Linked DNA regions of Nothobranchius furzeri. The protein of the gene in region 2 binds, or shares a complex with, the protein of the main gene of each other region. Links are inferred from orthologs where the notes say so. Each region holds a gene or a part of one and is shown on either strand. Other genes may lie near its edges.

Region 1 (7,852 bases), on a different chromosome or scaffold from region 2:
CACAAAGGTAGACAATGCACAGCTTCTCCAGAGCTCCCTGCTGACGGCTGAACGTTCCTCTGATGCAGTTTAGCAGCTGCAGCGGCTCTGGGCTCAATCCTGACACATGCACCGTTTTCACCTAAATAAAAAGGGCAAATAGGGAGGAACTGGTTTGGAGTGAAAGGATGAATAACGAACATTCATCCACTGATGTAGAGTTTTTTCTGTAGAGTAGAAGCCATTATTTCAGATTCTCTTAATTCAGTGTGTTAATTATTATTACTTTAAAATATTCTACATTATTTAGTGTTGATGAACAAAACAGAATCATGAATGTTTCTAAAAAAAAAATCTGTTTTCTAATTCACCACTCAGACAGCAAATCCACCAAATAAAATCTGATTTTATGCCACAAGAATCTTTTCCCCCAGGTTTTCTTTTACAGGATTTCCCTCCACAATTGGTTTTTTACCAGGATACGGGCAGATTGTAGCGTATGATGTGACATCTTGTTTTTAATTGCACCTCAGTTATGTCCAGCTCCATTTCATTTTTTTACCTGATGAGTCAGACTGGAGGTAAGATAGTAGATTTTTTTTGATGAGCCCACTGCTGAGCTGGACGTAGAAGCTCTCTTTGCTTTGTGGAGGGAGGAGAACCTCGACCCGAGTGTTTATGAGCCAAACTGCTGAGTGACGGATGGGAAGAGTCCGCCGGCCTCCTGGATTATTTCTGTTGGCGTTACGCCTGTGACTTCAAACACATTTTATTGTTTTTGAGGTTTTACAAAGAGCTTAGTATATTCCCTCATATTAACCAAACATATTAATGAGCAGCTAAACGGTTTCTGAGCATACGTTGTGGATAAAAAAAGCCTTATCTGCATGTGGGCCAAGGAGGCGCTCCTCCACCTCGAACCCCTCCTAGTTGGATGAGGTGTGCTGTTCCACTGCTGATTGCCTCTCTGTGTTTCAGCAGCAATGCACCATTCAAGTCTGCGGGCGACTTGACAAATGAGCAGCGATCTGAGCAGTGGGGGATGCTTGTACTGCACCACATCCTGTCCCGTCCACATCCCTCTGCCCTGCAGTGGTTCACCTCCCTTAACTGATGCGCTTTTACTCTAAACCAGCAAAAGCTCCGCTTAAAGTCACACTATTTAAAAATCTGATAAACACTAGAAAACGATTAAAAGAGTGAGTGGACACACACCAATACTCTTCTCATTCAGCTTGTTTTAATTTTATTGAAGATTTAAACGGAAGTGCATGGATTTTATTTGAAGTGATTTGAGTGAAAACTAATATATTTTTATTTTGTTGTTGAATATTTAAAGTCAGTTTAAATAAAAGGGCACGTTTGTGTTCACAAAAGTGGGCATTTTCAGCTTATTTTGTTTAAATCTATTTAATTAGTTTGTCCAAACCAAAAAAACTATATTGGATTTAAAATTATTGAAAATTGTGAAACATTTTTACTATTTTATGTATTCATTTATCTATAAAATAAGAAAATTGTATAATATTTTGTAGAAAACCTATTAGATTTTGTTCTTGACCACATCAATTAAACAGTAACTGGTGAGGATTCCTAGAAGGAATGATTTCCTTAACTCCACTAGGAACCAAAAGCGATGGTTTTTGTTGCTGAGTAAGGATATCTCCGTTACAGAGCTGAACTGTGCACATCTTAGATTACACGCCAAACACTGAAACCATAGATTTTCTTCTCACCTCCAGCATGAATCTATGTAAAAACAGTCAATGAGTTCATGAAAGTAGCCTGAAGATGCATTTGTTGCTCGTCTTTATTCATTGTTGTTTGTGAGTCAGTGCAGATACTAGATCTGAGATCAGTTCAAAAGCTTCATCCGTGCGCTGCCTGCAACTGCATCCACCACTTGAAGGCAGCATCCACCCTCTGGTCTTCTTCACAAACTGCATCTGAGAGCAAGCGGGTAGCAGAGTGTCTGATGCAGCATACGATCATTCACCTTGACTGCATGCATTGCTCAGACTTGCTTTAGTTGCAGCTGTCCATGCATACCTCCCCACACCCCAACCCCCTCATAAAGGCAGCGCACTCTGCCAGTCGTGGAGTGGGACGTACTATCGATCCTGCTGAAACCATGGTTTCTAAAAGGGAGGCAGTAAGCATGTCTGTATGCCCCTCCTCTGCCGTGGAGTGGTCCTGAGACATCCCCAAGCTCAGCACATTGCACCATCTCTGCATGGGAAAATGGGATTTTCAATGGGAGACGAGCTGAGTGGAAGGTAATTCAAGTCGCCAAGCCATGTTCCTCATCAAGGGTGTAAAATGAGTCAAGTTACCTTCAGAGGCTTTGCACATTGGACAAATAAGGTCATTTTCAAAGGTCTATTTAATCCCAGTGCCTGCCACAGATAATTTATATGACAAATGCAAAGATGAGCATGAGGTCTGAGAGTGAGAGGGCACTGAAATGAGAACATTTAACCAAACATCAGTTCATTATTCCTGTTCGCTCACAATAAAAATGAACATTTATTGTATTTTTAAAGAACTAAATATTAACTCTGAATGTGTTCAGAGGTGTGTAAGCGTGTGCACAAGTGCATGTGTGTGTGTGTGGTGGTGGTGGTGGTGGGGTCTCAGGGTGAAGCTCAGGCAGTGTGTGTGTGTTTCATATAATCCACTAGATGGCAACAGTGTCTTAGTTTTTCTAGCATTCACCTGAATTTTGCTGCATAGGTTCTCTTCCAGCAAAACTATTTAGGTCATAGTCATCCACGTAGGTCATTATTTCATTTCTCTTCCACTCACGATCGAACTTTGTTTTGTATTGGAGTTCTCCTTGTTAAGATACCAGCATAGCAGATAAAAAGTGACTGTATCAGCGATCCAGCTGAACATGAAGGTTGTGTGCAGCGTGAGTCATCCCGTTCAGTCCAATTCAATAAGATGATTTGGATGTTTCTCTGGGTTCAGTGTGTCTGGCACTTCAGCATGACTAAGTCAACAGCAGTGTTCCATGTGGATCCCCTCCGCTTACTAAATTCACAAAGGTCACTGTTTCAGAAACTAGAAGGTCTAACCGGCAGCCTGAGTTACAAAATAGTGCTGGAACAGGTGTGGTTATATTACGTATATATGGATCACATGATGTTTGTGTGTTTGTAAAAGACTAGAAGGTTTTAATAATCAGTTTTCCTTTCAACAACTTGGTTTTGGATCTTCTCTAGACAAGACTGACTGATGTGGAAACAAACTAAAACTAAACCAAGAAGATCATTAAACAGTTTAATCATGTTTGACTCACGTAACCTTAGATTTCAGGTCAGATGCTGGCAAGAGTTGCTCTGTGCAGAAAAGTGGATTTTATGAGATATTTTCCCTCACAAATTTAGAAAGAAAATGAACAAAAGGTTTGTTTAATAACCCAAGCGAATCAGTGTATTATTATTCATTATTATCCTTTCTGTCTGGTATTAAACATCATTGCAAATGTTTAGGTAGTTTGCTGTTTATCTATTTTTGTTTGTAGAGAGACGCAAACCGGAAATCACCCTCATGAACAGGCCGTCTGGCTGCAGATTCGCGGGGAGGTCCTAATCTGCTGAAGCAGCTGGGAGCATTTGACCACGTGACGCGAGTGATGTTTGAGCAGTCATCACCATTCACCTAATTCATGTCGGGCTCTAACGGTAAAAAGGTGGAACGACCAGGCAAAGGGGAACCACGATGAAGTAGAGTGAAACACTGAAGCGGAACCCTGGTCTCTACTTCACCTCCTCATCTACCAGGTCTGTCTGTGTTCTTTACGTTCATTAATGTGGCTGCCGATGCGTTTGTTTTTCCTTTTTGTGTTTCTGTTCTCATCTGTTTGGTGTCAAACAACAGCAGCTGTGAACGGCTCTGACTGTCCGGATGTCCATTGTGGACGCAGTCATTAATTACCGCGTTGTTTTCGTCTCCACGACACATTAACGTTAGCTTAATGTCGCTTGTTTTTGCTAACACAGCGACGCTTAATGTTTCTCTTCTTCTCGTGTAACGAACGTTTTAAACGCAGTCGAGCTGTTGGGGCAGCATTCACACCGACAGCAGATCGCCCCGAGCCGCGCGTGGATGGCCCTCGAGTCCGGAGGAGCCCGCGAGAGCCTCCGGCCCGATTATGCTAACGTTCAATTCAATTCATGGGCTAGTAGGCCTAAAGATGCTAACACCTTTTGTTTTCCACAGGAATTTCCTTTTGTGTTCCAACGAAAGGACATTTGTTCAGGCCTGTGCCAACATTGACTCAAATGTTTCACTTTTAAACCTAAACATTCGTTTAACCTCACGTGAACGATGAGTTCTGGTGTTATTTCAATGCTCTGTGTTGAGGGTAGACTGAAAGTGACTCCTAAAACCACAGCTGCTTAACACAAAACGGCTAATCGACACAATAAACCTCAGAACGCTCACTTAAAAAAAACATTATGAAGGTCACTGTTTTTATACGGGTTATGTTTTTGCTCCTGATCAAACAGACAAAAGCATGTGAAAGAGTCTACTAAACTTGGTTTTTTAGTAAGCATCGACTCATTTGTTTTGCTGGTCAACAAGCAGCTAATTCAGGTGGGCCAAGTCTAAATTGAGCCTTAAATGAGAAACAAGTGCTTCTGTGGCTCAGCAGATCTAGTGAGCCCTTCCTCTTGCATTTCAATCAGCTTCAAAGCAACCCAGGGCCCCAGGAACCCTGATCAGCCCAGGCCTGGCTTTTAGCCCCCAAAACACTATCCTCCACAAGAAACCTTTTCATACTTCTAAAGGTTATGTTTGTTTAAAACTATCACTTTTTATTCTTCTGTTTTGATTTTTTTGCGTCTTGTAAGGGGAGGAAGAATTGTGAAGTATCAGCTCAAAGGCTGTGCAAATTAACATGTTTCACTCTTCCTGAACGCCAGACAGCTATTGAAAAGGAGATTATTTACATTTAGATGCTGGCCACCCACTGCAGGCTTTTTCTTCTCTCCTGCTTTCCAATCACTGACGAGACATGACCCATTTAAATGGTTGTTTACTTGCATTAGAAGAAGAGCCAAGGCACTGCTCAATGAACTCTTGTCTACAATTTAATTAGAGTGGCCTTCCCAGCAGCACAATTTTCCATGTTACACAACATTGTTTGTAGTCACTGCTGTACAGTGACCAAAAAACATCTGTCATTGACTAATTTTCTATTTTAAATCGGTTTTACTTTGGGTGGTAAGTTTAATACGTTTCTGTACAATAACGGTTCTTTTTTAAACGATGCTTATAGAATTATATTAACAAGTGGGGTCTAATTTCCCATAATTTAAACACTGCTGCTTAATACAGGTGTGATCTATTTTAATAGGTTTTGAATTTCTGTGACGCTGAGGTTTTACCTCAATCTAGCTGTGTTTTCCTCTTAAGCATAACCCATGAACCCCTGGTATACCTGGGCCAGTGTGTCAAGCTTGTTATTGCAGCCTTGATGATCAGCTGACGTCATAAACATTCTTATCTTTTCTTGTCTCTGATTTATCAAGAGAAGCAGCATAAGAATCACTTACAAGGAAAATATGAAGATGGATTCATTCAAAGCTTTGAGTTTTTTTCTTGTAAAAAAAAAGTGTTAATGTCAACAGTCCTGTTGTGATGAAACCATATCAGTACCATCTGAGAAATCATACTAATTTAATTTATCAAGCTTTTGCCCCTGGTTATTTTAGGGAAAACCAAATTTTACAAAAGTAAAACTCCTGACTTATTGCTCTAAAGCATAAAGTAAAATTTGGTTTATATTGGTATTTTATCTCGAGACAGTGTCTTGACTCCCAGTCAAGTGTGTCCATTTGGGGTAAATGTTGACCTAAAGTTGGGACTCTCATCAAGCTAACAGATGATTAATAGAACATTATAAAATGGTGGTAATACTGGATTAAGACGTTTTTAGACTGTTCACTTTAAGTTAAATCTGAAACAGGCTGTTCTATTTAGTCAATAATCCAGTCTATTATACTTGAACCGACATTTCACTGATAATAGAAACTTGTTGTTCTTGTCTGTCTTGGTTGGCTTAACTTGACATTTAAGTGACAGAAGCAACAAGCAAGGCCATACTGCCATGCTTTTCCAGATTATAGTTCAACACTTTGGAAAAAACTGAAATGAACACATCCATGTGATTTACTTTTTCTAGCTGCTCAACACATAAGTATGTTCCTGGTTTTAATATAAATCTGTTCTGGGATATGACGTTAGGTTTAAAATATAAGACACTTAAGATTTTCATAACTCTGAAAATCACATGAGAACAAAAACACTTTAAAGGCTAAGCAGAGGCCTGAAGTTAATCTCCAGCTGTCACTCAGGAGCTGGATTCAGTGCTTGTATAATATGAACATGTACCATAACATTTTTAGTTACAGTTGACTGATTTAGTTACAGCTGATGTTCTATGTTGCTGCCTTTTAAATGATAACTGTTTGTAATGTTAGGCTAGTAAGAGTTTGATGCAGAAGGCCTGGTCGGTTTTATTAACATCTTTTATCTGCTTTCATTTGTAAAATTTCCAGGTAGGCCTTAAAACTTCCCTCGTCTTACTTTGGTGACCTGCGTCAAACGCTGGCAGATCAACTTGCATCTCAGGCTGTTGGAGCACGGTGGAGAAGGAAGGTCTGAGGCTCACCACTCCCCCCAGTTGTCTTTGAGGAGGGGGGAGGAATAGGAGGTGGGGCAGGAGGAGCTCTACAACCACCTGGAGCATGGGGCAGAAAGTCCCAGGTGGCATTAAAACCATTGACATGCGGGACCCGGCGTTCAGCCCCCTGACTTTGGAGCTACAGGCCCTGAGTCACACCAAGCCGTCTCGACTGGACCTGCTGCTGGACATGCCGCCCGCCGGCCCAGATGTCCAGATCCAAAACTCATGGAACAACAATGACCGGTCCCTCAATGTCTTTGTCAAGGATGACAACAAGCTGGTGTTTCATAGGCACCCTGTGGCACAGAGCACGGACGCCATCCGGGGACGCGTTGGCTACACGAGGGGACTGCACGTGTGGGAGATCAACTGGGCGATGCGTCAGAGGGGCACGCACGCGGTGGTTGGAGTGGCAACAAGTGACGCCCCGCTGCACTCTGTGGGTTACACAGCTTTGGTAGGAAGCAACGCCGAGTCCTGGGGCTGGGACCTGTGCCGGAGTAAACTCTACCACGACGGTAAAAATGTGCCAGGAAAGCCATACCCAGCCTTCCTCGAGCCAGAAGACGCCTTCATCATACCAGACTCCTTCTTAGTGGTCTTGGACATGGATGAGGGGACTCTTGGTTACTTAGTGGATGGACATTATCTCGGTGTGGCATTTAAAGGACTGAAAGGCAAAAAGCTGTACCCAGTGGTGAGCGCCGTGTGGGGACACTGTGAAATACGAATCCGGTACATAAATGGACTCGATCGTAAGTATAAATCTGTACACTGATCGAGATGTACTCTATTATAAGCCAGTGTGTAGCCACATAGGATTTTCGGGGGGGTAAAAGATCCATCAAGAAAAGGGTGTTTTGTCCTGTCTTCTAAACAGGATAAATGATGTCCCCCTGTTACATAAGATAATACATGTCAGCTGTTTTCTGACAGCTGCCTGCTATCCCTAAGATTAATATAAAATGACTACAAATGGAATAATCCCATTTATTTATCGGTGAATGCAACGTGAGCTTTCGGTCAGGAAACACGGGTTCGTTGTTAGACCCTGTCTTACCCCACTGCTCCTCCCTGGTGCTCTGTGCTCATCAGAGTTTAATGTTCAGCTCAGATCCTTTGACCTAGTTTGTATCTGTTCAAACGAGGCTCCACAGATGATGATTTATTCACAAA
Region 2 (7,986 bases):
ATGTAAATATTTCACAGGATAATTCTTACAAATTGCACCTTTAAACGCAGTAAGTTAAGCCAATAAATCCTCTAAAGTTTGTTGTTGTTTGGATTCAGGACATGAAATATTTGCAGGTTAAGGGATTTGTTTGGACAGATAAGTTTTCATTCACCTCTCACACCCGGTTTTCCCTCAGATGATCCTGGATTTGAACTATTGAACCTCCTCTTACAGCCGCTGTGTTCTAGTCCTCCTCCCCCACGCGCAGGGCTGTGCAGGCCAGGAGAGGTAGGTGATGGGCTGCAGGGTCGCAAGCAGAAACTAAGTGACGCACTTTTCATACAGTGCTGTTTGGAGGTTTGTGAGCTCTCCCAGACATGGTCACTGTTTTTCTAAAAACACCCAAATCCCAATTTGTGGAGCACACTTTCCAAATAAACATAAACAAACATAAACAAATAATATTCACACACACAAAGGTCATGTTTTCATTATTTAAGTCAACAAATGTGTTTATTTCACATAAAAATAGAAAATTTGCAAAAGTTTGCGTAGCTTGTGGCTCCTCTTTTTGCAGCCATTGCTTCCACTGACCAGTCCCTCACATCTGCTTATGGGGATTGTCCCCCGCTGCTCTTGGCAGAGCTCAGTTGAGAGAGGCTGGAGAGACATCTAGCAGCTTCTTCAGGTCTTGCCACAAAATTTCAATTAGGTTAAATGTGTGAAACACTGACATAGGGCTGCTCAATTAATCGAATTTTAATCACGATTACGATCTGAGTTTTGAACGATTATAAAAATCAAAACAAGCCGATTATTTGCTCCTCCCGCTTGCGCTGCCCTGAGTTGCAAATGAAGCGCTCCTCCACAGTGTTGCCAACTTAGCGACTTTGACGCTATTTCTAGCAGCTTTTCAGACCCCCTTCTTGACTTTTTAATCCTAAAAGTACCTGGCGAACATCTCAGAAACATCTCTGGTAACCCTTAGCTACTTTCTGGATAACTGTCGTCGACATTTCCTGCAGGTTAGCTAAACACTCCACCTGCGCTCCGGACCGTTTTTCAGGACATTAGGAAAGGGAATTATGTAGTGATGTGTCAGTTGCTAAAGAAACGGCTCTCGGAGTCGGCTCCTTGTTGGATTAACCAGAGTGAGTGACACACACCGTACCTGCGGACTCCTGAGCCTCTAAAAACGGCTAAATGTGCGCGTGCGGCGCGCTAAACACACGTGCGGTTTGCCCTGATTGCTGTGAGACCGGGTTGGGGGGTGGGGGGTGCAGCTGTGGTTGGGACAATTATTACATTAACTGATGGACTTGTAAATAAATAGTTTATAAATAAGGTAGAAATAAGTTCCTCACGCTGATAACTAATAACTAACCTCTCTGAGGACACGGTGCTAGTGCACTCACCTACAGCACCTTGACACGACTCAATAAATGTTATGCAACATTTTGTGAACATCAATTTATTTGCATTTATTTGTTATAAATGCCACTGTATAATTCTTGCTGTCAGTATTTGCAAGATATTGGTATTTGGGTCTGTACTGGTTAGACTCAAGGTCTATAGCCCTTGGGTCATAGACTATGAGCTATCAGTATATTGGTCTTTTTATCCTGGGAATCAGGAGTTATTTTAGTGATCATCTTGTTTCTTATTTTTGTCCTGATTGTGCCTTGAGCAATTTTATGACTGAATAAAAACAAATAAAATCAACATAAATTGAAAAATCGTCCTAAATAATCGTGATCTCAATTTCAGTCACCATAATCGTGATTATTATTTTTGCCATAATCGAGCAGCCCTACACTGACAAACACATTTTATGATTACTTCTGATTGTAGTCAGCCACTCTGAGGTTTTCATGCAGGCTGAACATGAAAATAGTCTCCTACACCTATCTCCTGCATTAGCTTCAAATAGAAAATAGACGTGAAACTCTAGGATTAGAAAAGCCCGACAGATCTACGTCACACTGTCACTCAACATTCATGGACTCACCCATCTTGACTCACAACGGGAAAGGGTGTTGGTTTAGCGTCAAGGAAACAGCAGATCACGCATCGGCTAGTAGAAGCTAACCGTTAGCTAAAAAATCACGGAAAAACAACAAAAACATTTAAACCGCTCCAGGAATTGACATTCTGTCAAACGGCGCTGTCGATTACTGGTAAATCACTACATGAAGTGATTATTCAGACCTGTTAGGGAGGTCAAAGTATAACTATGAAATTATGTGGGAGAAAACTTCCACAGAAAATAAAGTCTATTGCATCCTGTGCACTTCGTTTATTGCAACTTGTGAATATTTAGCTGTCCTTTCGTGTTTTAGTCCGTATCTGACTGAAGCGTGGACTCGGGTAAACTGAATAAATTACAGAAAATATCTTTTTATAAAATAATGTACGTTGATCATATTAATATTTGAAAATGTACACTAGTATTACCCTACATTATATTATAACTCCTGTTGGCTAAATCATTGAAAGGAAATCAGACTAAATGCTTTGTTTCTAGGTGTGAAAGAAAGTTAAGAAATTCAAAATAAAACCAAACTAACCAGAGGGCCATGCTAGGCCATAAAACTGATGCCACCATCTATCGTAAATAATAACATATCATCTGTAAAAATGCACGGTTCCAGTCGGAGACGCCTCCAGGACTGTGTCTATGGATTAGAACAGATGGAGCATTGTTTGCTATCATTAAAGTCTATAAAACAATGTATTTGATCAACTTATTATTTTATTTTTAAAGAAAGTTTTTGTTTTTAGTCTGTTTCTGTTTGTGAGACCTTTGGCCTTTTAACCCAGGATTTTATTCCAGCTTTTTAATAAGCAGAGTTATAAGAAGCTACAAGACTTTTTAAAACAAAATGTATATATATTTTTTTCAATTTTGATTTTGTGAATTTTTTTTACTTTTAAACATAAAACATTGTTGGTACATTTTTTTTATTTAAAATGTAACCCTTAAGGACCCAAACCCTTTTGAGATAAAAAAAAACTGATTGGAGTAAATACATAAAAATGTAGAAAAACATAAATTAAAATAAAGAAGTAAAATGATTTTTGATATACTGTATGTGTAGGATGTCACTTGGAGTTGTCAAACTTGAAAATATGACGCAAGAAGCAAGTTTGAAATTGGATGTGACACAGTGTCACCACGAGTTCATCTTAAGCCTTTTGGTTTTTTGGAAATAGTTTAAGATTTAGGCAATGAGCAAGATTTAACATGCAAAACTGGTTAAATATGGCCTCTGCTTCCAAGATGGTTAAACCTCCCTTTTTATTATATATATTTATGAGGGTTTAATATTATCATTATCATCATCATTATTATTATTATTATTATTATTATTATTATTATTATTATTATTGTCATAATTGTTATTATTATTGTTGTCATTATTATTTTTTTATGATCATCATCATTATTATTATTATGATTGTTTTCATTATTATTATTATTATTATATTATTGTTGTTGTTGTCATTATTATTATTGTTATTATTATTATTATTATTGTTGTCATTATAATTATTATTTTATGATCATCATCATTATTATTATTATTATTATTATTATTGTTTTCATTATTATTATTATTATTATTATTATTATTATTATTATTGTTGTCATTATTATTATTGTTGTTGTTGTCATTATAATAATAATAATAATACTTATTATTATTATTATTGTGATAATAATAATAATAATAATAATAATAATAATAATTATTATTATTATTATTATTATATTTAGAGCCACTTGAGTCTCCAGAGCAGCAGACTCATTTTCTCTACCTGTGCGTCGCAACGGTACAAAAACAACAATTTGTTCCCCTATTTAAACACTGACTTCTGACTTTGGGTGTTTATTTGATCAGTCAGATCGCGCGCGCGCTCCCCGCGCGCCGCTGAGGCGCTCCACATAGCGCGGGTGCATCTTTCAGTACAACACCGGAAGTGCCGCAGCTCCCAGGCTCGTGTCCTGTCCCACAGCGGCTCCCAGTGCTTTTCATCAGAGCCGAAAGCGGTCACACCTGGTCGGACCCAGAAGAGCAGTTGGAAGCCGCTCCGCTCCGTCCAGGTGAGTCTCTCCGCCGAGTTTATCCCGCTTTCATCAACTTTTGCGGGTGTTATTTAGTGAGAAGACAGAGTTAACTAAAAAGTGCGCGGCAGCAGCGAAGAAACTTAGTGGTGCGTTTCCAGCTGAGCGCGACACAAACAGGGCCATAAAAAACGAGCTTACAGCTTTTATTAAGTGTCGTTTCGGTCTGACTTGACCTTGTTTTCCTCCGACCTGTCAACAGCTCCAGAGGTAATCGCGTGAGGAATGTGGTGTCACCAGGGAGCTGCCGAGTAAACTCACGTCTGTGCGCCTCTCCACCTCAAGTTAACTCCAGAATCAAACAAACAAATAATTACACATCAAGGGATCCTCATGGCCACGGGCGGATTTAAGTCGAACCCAACCACAAACATCCTGGAGGAGTGGAAGGCGAAACGCGAGAAAGTCAGGGCGAAAATGCTGGGTGACATCGCTGCAGCCACCGGAGTTCCCTTGAGCCCCAGCGCCAACAACCGCCTGGGAGCTCCTCCCGGCGCGGACCTCACCGGCAGCCCGGACTGGAGCGCCTCTGCTGCGAACTGCCACACCCCCTCCTGCCCCGGCGTAGCTCCGAGCAGACCCGAGGAGGACGCGCACCACCCCGCGGCACCCTCAGCCCCGGCGAGCAACCTGAAGAAGGCCCCGCCTCAGCCAGACAAGGCTCCGGGCGCGTCCCCGGACTCCAGTCTGATGGCTTGCAACGCCAGCGACAAGGAGAGTCCGTCACCCAGCAAGGGCAAGGAGAAGAAGAGCTCTGGTCCCAGTGCACGGAAGGGGAAAGGGAAAGGGCAGATCGAGAAGAGGAAGCTAAGGGAAAAGAGGAGATCAACAGGTGTGGTGAACATACCTTCCAACGAGGTGAGTCAGTCCAGCTGGGCTTCAGTGTTCATCCTCAGGAGATCTTGCTCCTGCTGCAAGCTGCATCACTGGAGGCAACATTTGGATGAAAGTGAACAAGATAAAGTAATTCTTAAATAACTGCATTAAATGGTGGATGCTTGTCTCAAAGGTTGGCAATCATCCAGCAAAAGTTCATTTCAGAAAGAGACAAGAAAGCTTTAATAAAAGTTAAGTCTGCCCTGGCCTTCAGGAGGGCTTGGAGAGGACCTTCAGGGGTCAGGTCAAAGGTTATCCAAGGGGAAATGTGTCAAATTATCAGTATTTCCTAAAATATTAGAGTCACCTGAGGAAATTGTCTGAAAATCAGATTTAATGTCTTACTTTCTTAACTGTTTTTTATATTCTAGGTTTGATTTTATTAAGTGTTGCTGATGTTATGAACATACCTGAAGGGAACAGTGTGTATTTCCCCCATGAAACTACAAAAAACAAGGTTGAGAGCAGCCTCGTTTCCCCTAAGAGACTGCAGATTCCTCTCATGCATGTGTCTGGTTTAATTGCCCCTCTGCAGAGAGAAAAATGAAAAGCAGCCCTGGGAAGGGGGTGGAGTTGGCGGCTTCTGGAAGTGTTTGGAGGCGGTTGTGCCTCTCATTGTTTTTGAATTTAAATCATGTCGCACTCCTAATTCCTGCAGTTCCGACGCTTCGCAGCAACTCGGATCTGAAGCGGTGCCAGTGAGAGCCACCACAGTGATAATGTACTCACGCACTCTAAAAGCTCTTAAATTATACAGAAATGTTGAAAATGAGTTTTTTTCCCCCTTATTATTGAAGGTATTTCTGTAGAAGTGGTCCATAACGTTCCCATTGGCCCAATTAAACAGCCACCCAAGACTCTGTGCCTTTGGGCATCAGGACTTGGAGGTGGACCAGTTCTGCAGTTGGCTCTACATCCTGTTATGAAGGACTGTTGGAGAACTGGTCTCAGGCCAGAGGTGGGACGCTGGGCATGTTTGGTTTTTCCCAGATAAGTCCGATGACTTCCATAGGCAGCAGTCTGTGTGGTAAAGTTTGTGGACGGACTATAATTTAGGAAATCTGAGGTGAACTTTTGCACATCCTGAATGGAACACGTTGATCTGAGTAAGTAGCACACTGTGTGTATCTACATAACCCCTCACTAAACCAGCGGGAGCACATTTGTGCAACAAGCTTTGAAACACTTGTTCAGCTTTATTAGGAGACACGTGCACATTTTCCTCCTCGGCTCAGATACAGATCATAACTTTGCACATTTGCAGGTACTTTAGGTGCTCCTAAAGACTTAGACTACTGTAACTCTCTTTTCACGTGTCTGAGCAGAACCTCCCTGAACCGTCTACAGGTGGTTCAGAATGCCTGTGTTCGGCTTCTGACCAAGTCCTCCAAACACACCCACATCACCCCGCTTCTCCTCCAGCTTCACTGGCTGCCAGTCAACTTCAGGGTTCATTTCAAGATCCTGGTTCTGGTCTATAGAGCCTTACATGGACAAGCACCATCTTACATTGGTGATCTTCTTAGTCCCTACACCCCCAGCAGGTCCCTGAGGTCCAGTGATCAAAGCCTACTGGTTGTGCAGCACCAGGCTAAAGACCAAAGGTGACAGATCATCCGCTGCTGTGGCCCCCAGACTCTGGAACTCTCTCCCCCTGAGCCTGAGATCAGTGGACTCAGTGGTCTCCTTTAAAAAGCAGCTGAAGACTCACTTGTTCAGGCTTTGGTGTGACCTTCATCACCACCCTCTCCTTATTCTGTTCTTATTCCACCTTTCCTGGGATCCATTGCTTTCCCTCTTTCTTATTCATTTTCTCGCTCCCTTTCCTTGCATTTTCTTCTTTTCTCCTTTCACACATATTTCTAATCATTTTTTAAATCTTTTTATACTTAAATTTATTTGATTTTGTGAAACGACCTTCTTCTACGGCTACTACTACCACTTCCTCTTCTTTGGTAGTCCACATAATCATGATTAGTAAACCAATCTTGACAACAGAAATGAAACCCAAAAATCTAATTTAAAGGTGCATGATGTAAGAGTGACATCCTGTGGTCAAACTTGGGTACTACGGTCCATTTTCAAAACACACAAGTGACTCACTGTTCTGTGAGTTTCATGGCTGTTTTACGGCTCAGCGGCAGAAGATTCTAGGTGAGAAGTGAAGACGAGTCATACACGATACGTAAACACATTTTTGTATTCATGGTACTAGTAAATGGTAAATGGCCTGTATTTGTATGGCACCTTCTTGGGGTTCTACAACCCCCCAAGGCGCTTCACAACACAATCCATCATTCACCTATTCACACACACATTCACACACTGGTGGGGATGAGCTACGATGTAGCCACAGCTGCCTTGGGGCGCATTGACAGAGGCGAGGCTGCCGAGCACAGGCGCCACCGGTCCTTCCGACCACCACCTGCAGGAAAGGTGGGCTAAGTGTCTTGCCCAAGGACACAACAGCAGCATTCTTTGATCGGAGCTGGGATCGAACCTACAACCTTCCGATTACTGGACAACCCTCTCTACCTGCTAAGCTGCTGCTGGTGCCTGTAATATCTTGTTGTTGGTGATGGAAAAAGTAGCCTGAGATATTTTTCTTTGTAATTCACTGTTAGTAATGTTAATACATCAAACTTATGTAGCGCTTGTTAGGACACTCAAAGACGCTTTCATGCACTCTTACATTCACACACTGCCAGTGAAGGTAAGCTTCTACGTAGCCACAGCCGCCCTGGGGGGGAGGCTGCCATTTTGTGCCGTCGTCCCCTCTGACCACCACCAACACAGGCAAGTTGAGTGAAGTGTCTTGCCCAAAGACACAACAGCAGAATACCCTTGGCGGGAGCTGGAATCAAACCCATGACCCTCCGATCATGAGGCAACCCGCTCTACCACCTGAGCTACTGCTGCCCCACATTACCTAGCATTAGCCTCTAACATTTTTCCTCGATCTTCGAGTCAAACCGAAAGGTGCCGTGGCTTCTTGGGGTTGT

The links. The genes of interacting proteins can lie anywhere in the genome.
Region 1: the proteins of pawr (region 2) and spsb1 are in contact, whole or in part, in a crystal structure (PDB 2JK9), measured with the Homo sapiens proteins. The link is inferred for Nothobranchius furzeri from reciprocal best matches to the Homo sapiens genes PAWR and SPSB1. Residues at the interface, in NP_001341661.1 of Homo sapiens: Glu68, Leu69, Asn70, Asn71, Asn72, Leu73, Pro74; in NP_079382.2 of Homo sapiens: Arg77, His78, Pro79, Val80, Ala81, Gln82, Gly110, Thr111, Tyr129, Val216, Trp217, Gly218.

The regions. Positions count from the first base shown.
Region 1 is NC_091755.1:28,614,706-28,622,557, reverse strand, and holds the start of spsb1 (SPRY domain-containing SOCS box protein 1), read left to right. Parts: upstream 1-3,535; 5' UTR 3,536-3,764; intron 3,765-6,548; 5' UTR 6,549-6,737; coding exon 6,738-7,431; intron 7,432-7,852. UniProt on the Homo sapiens protein: Substrate recognition component of a SCF-like ECS (Elongin BC-CUL2/5-SOCS-box protein) E3 ubiquitin-protein ligase complex which mediates the ubiquitination and subsequent proteasomal degradation of target proteins.
Region 2 is NC_091741.1:40,728,261-40,736,246, reverse strand, and holds the start of pawr (PRKC apoptosis WT1 regulator protein), read left to right. Parts: upstream 1-3,947; 5' UTR 3,948-4,087; intron 4,088-4,310; 5' UTR 4,311-4,441; coding exon 4,442-4,966; intron 4,967-7,986. UniProt on the Homo sapiens protein: Pro-apoptotic protein capable of selectively inducing apoptosis in cancer cells, sensitizing the cells to diverse apoptotic stimuli and causing regression of tumors in animal models.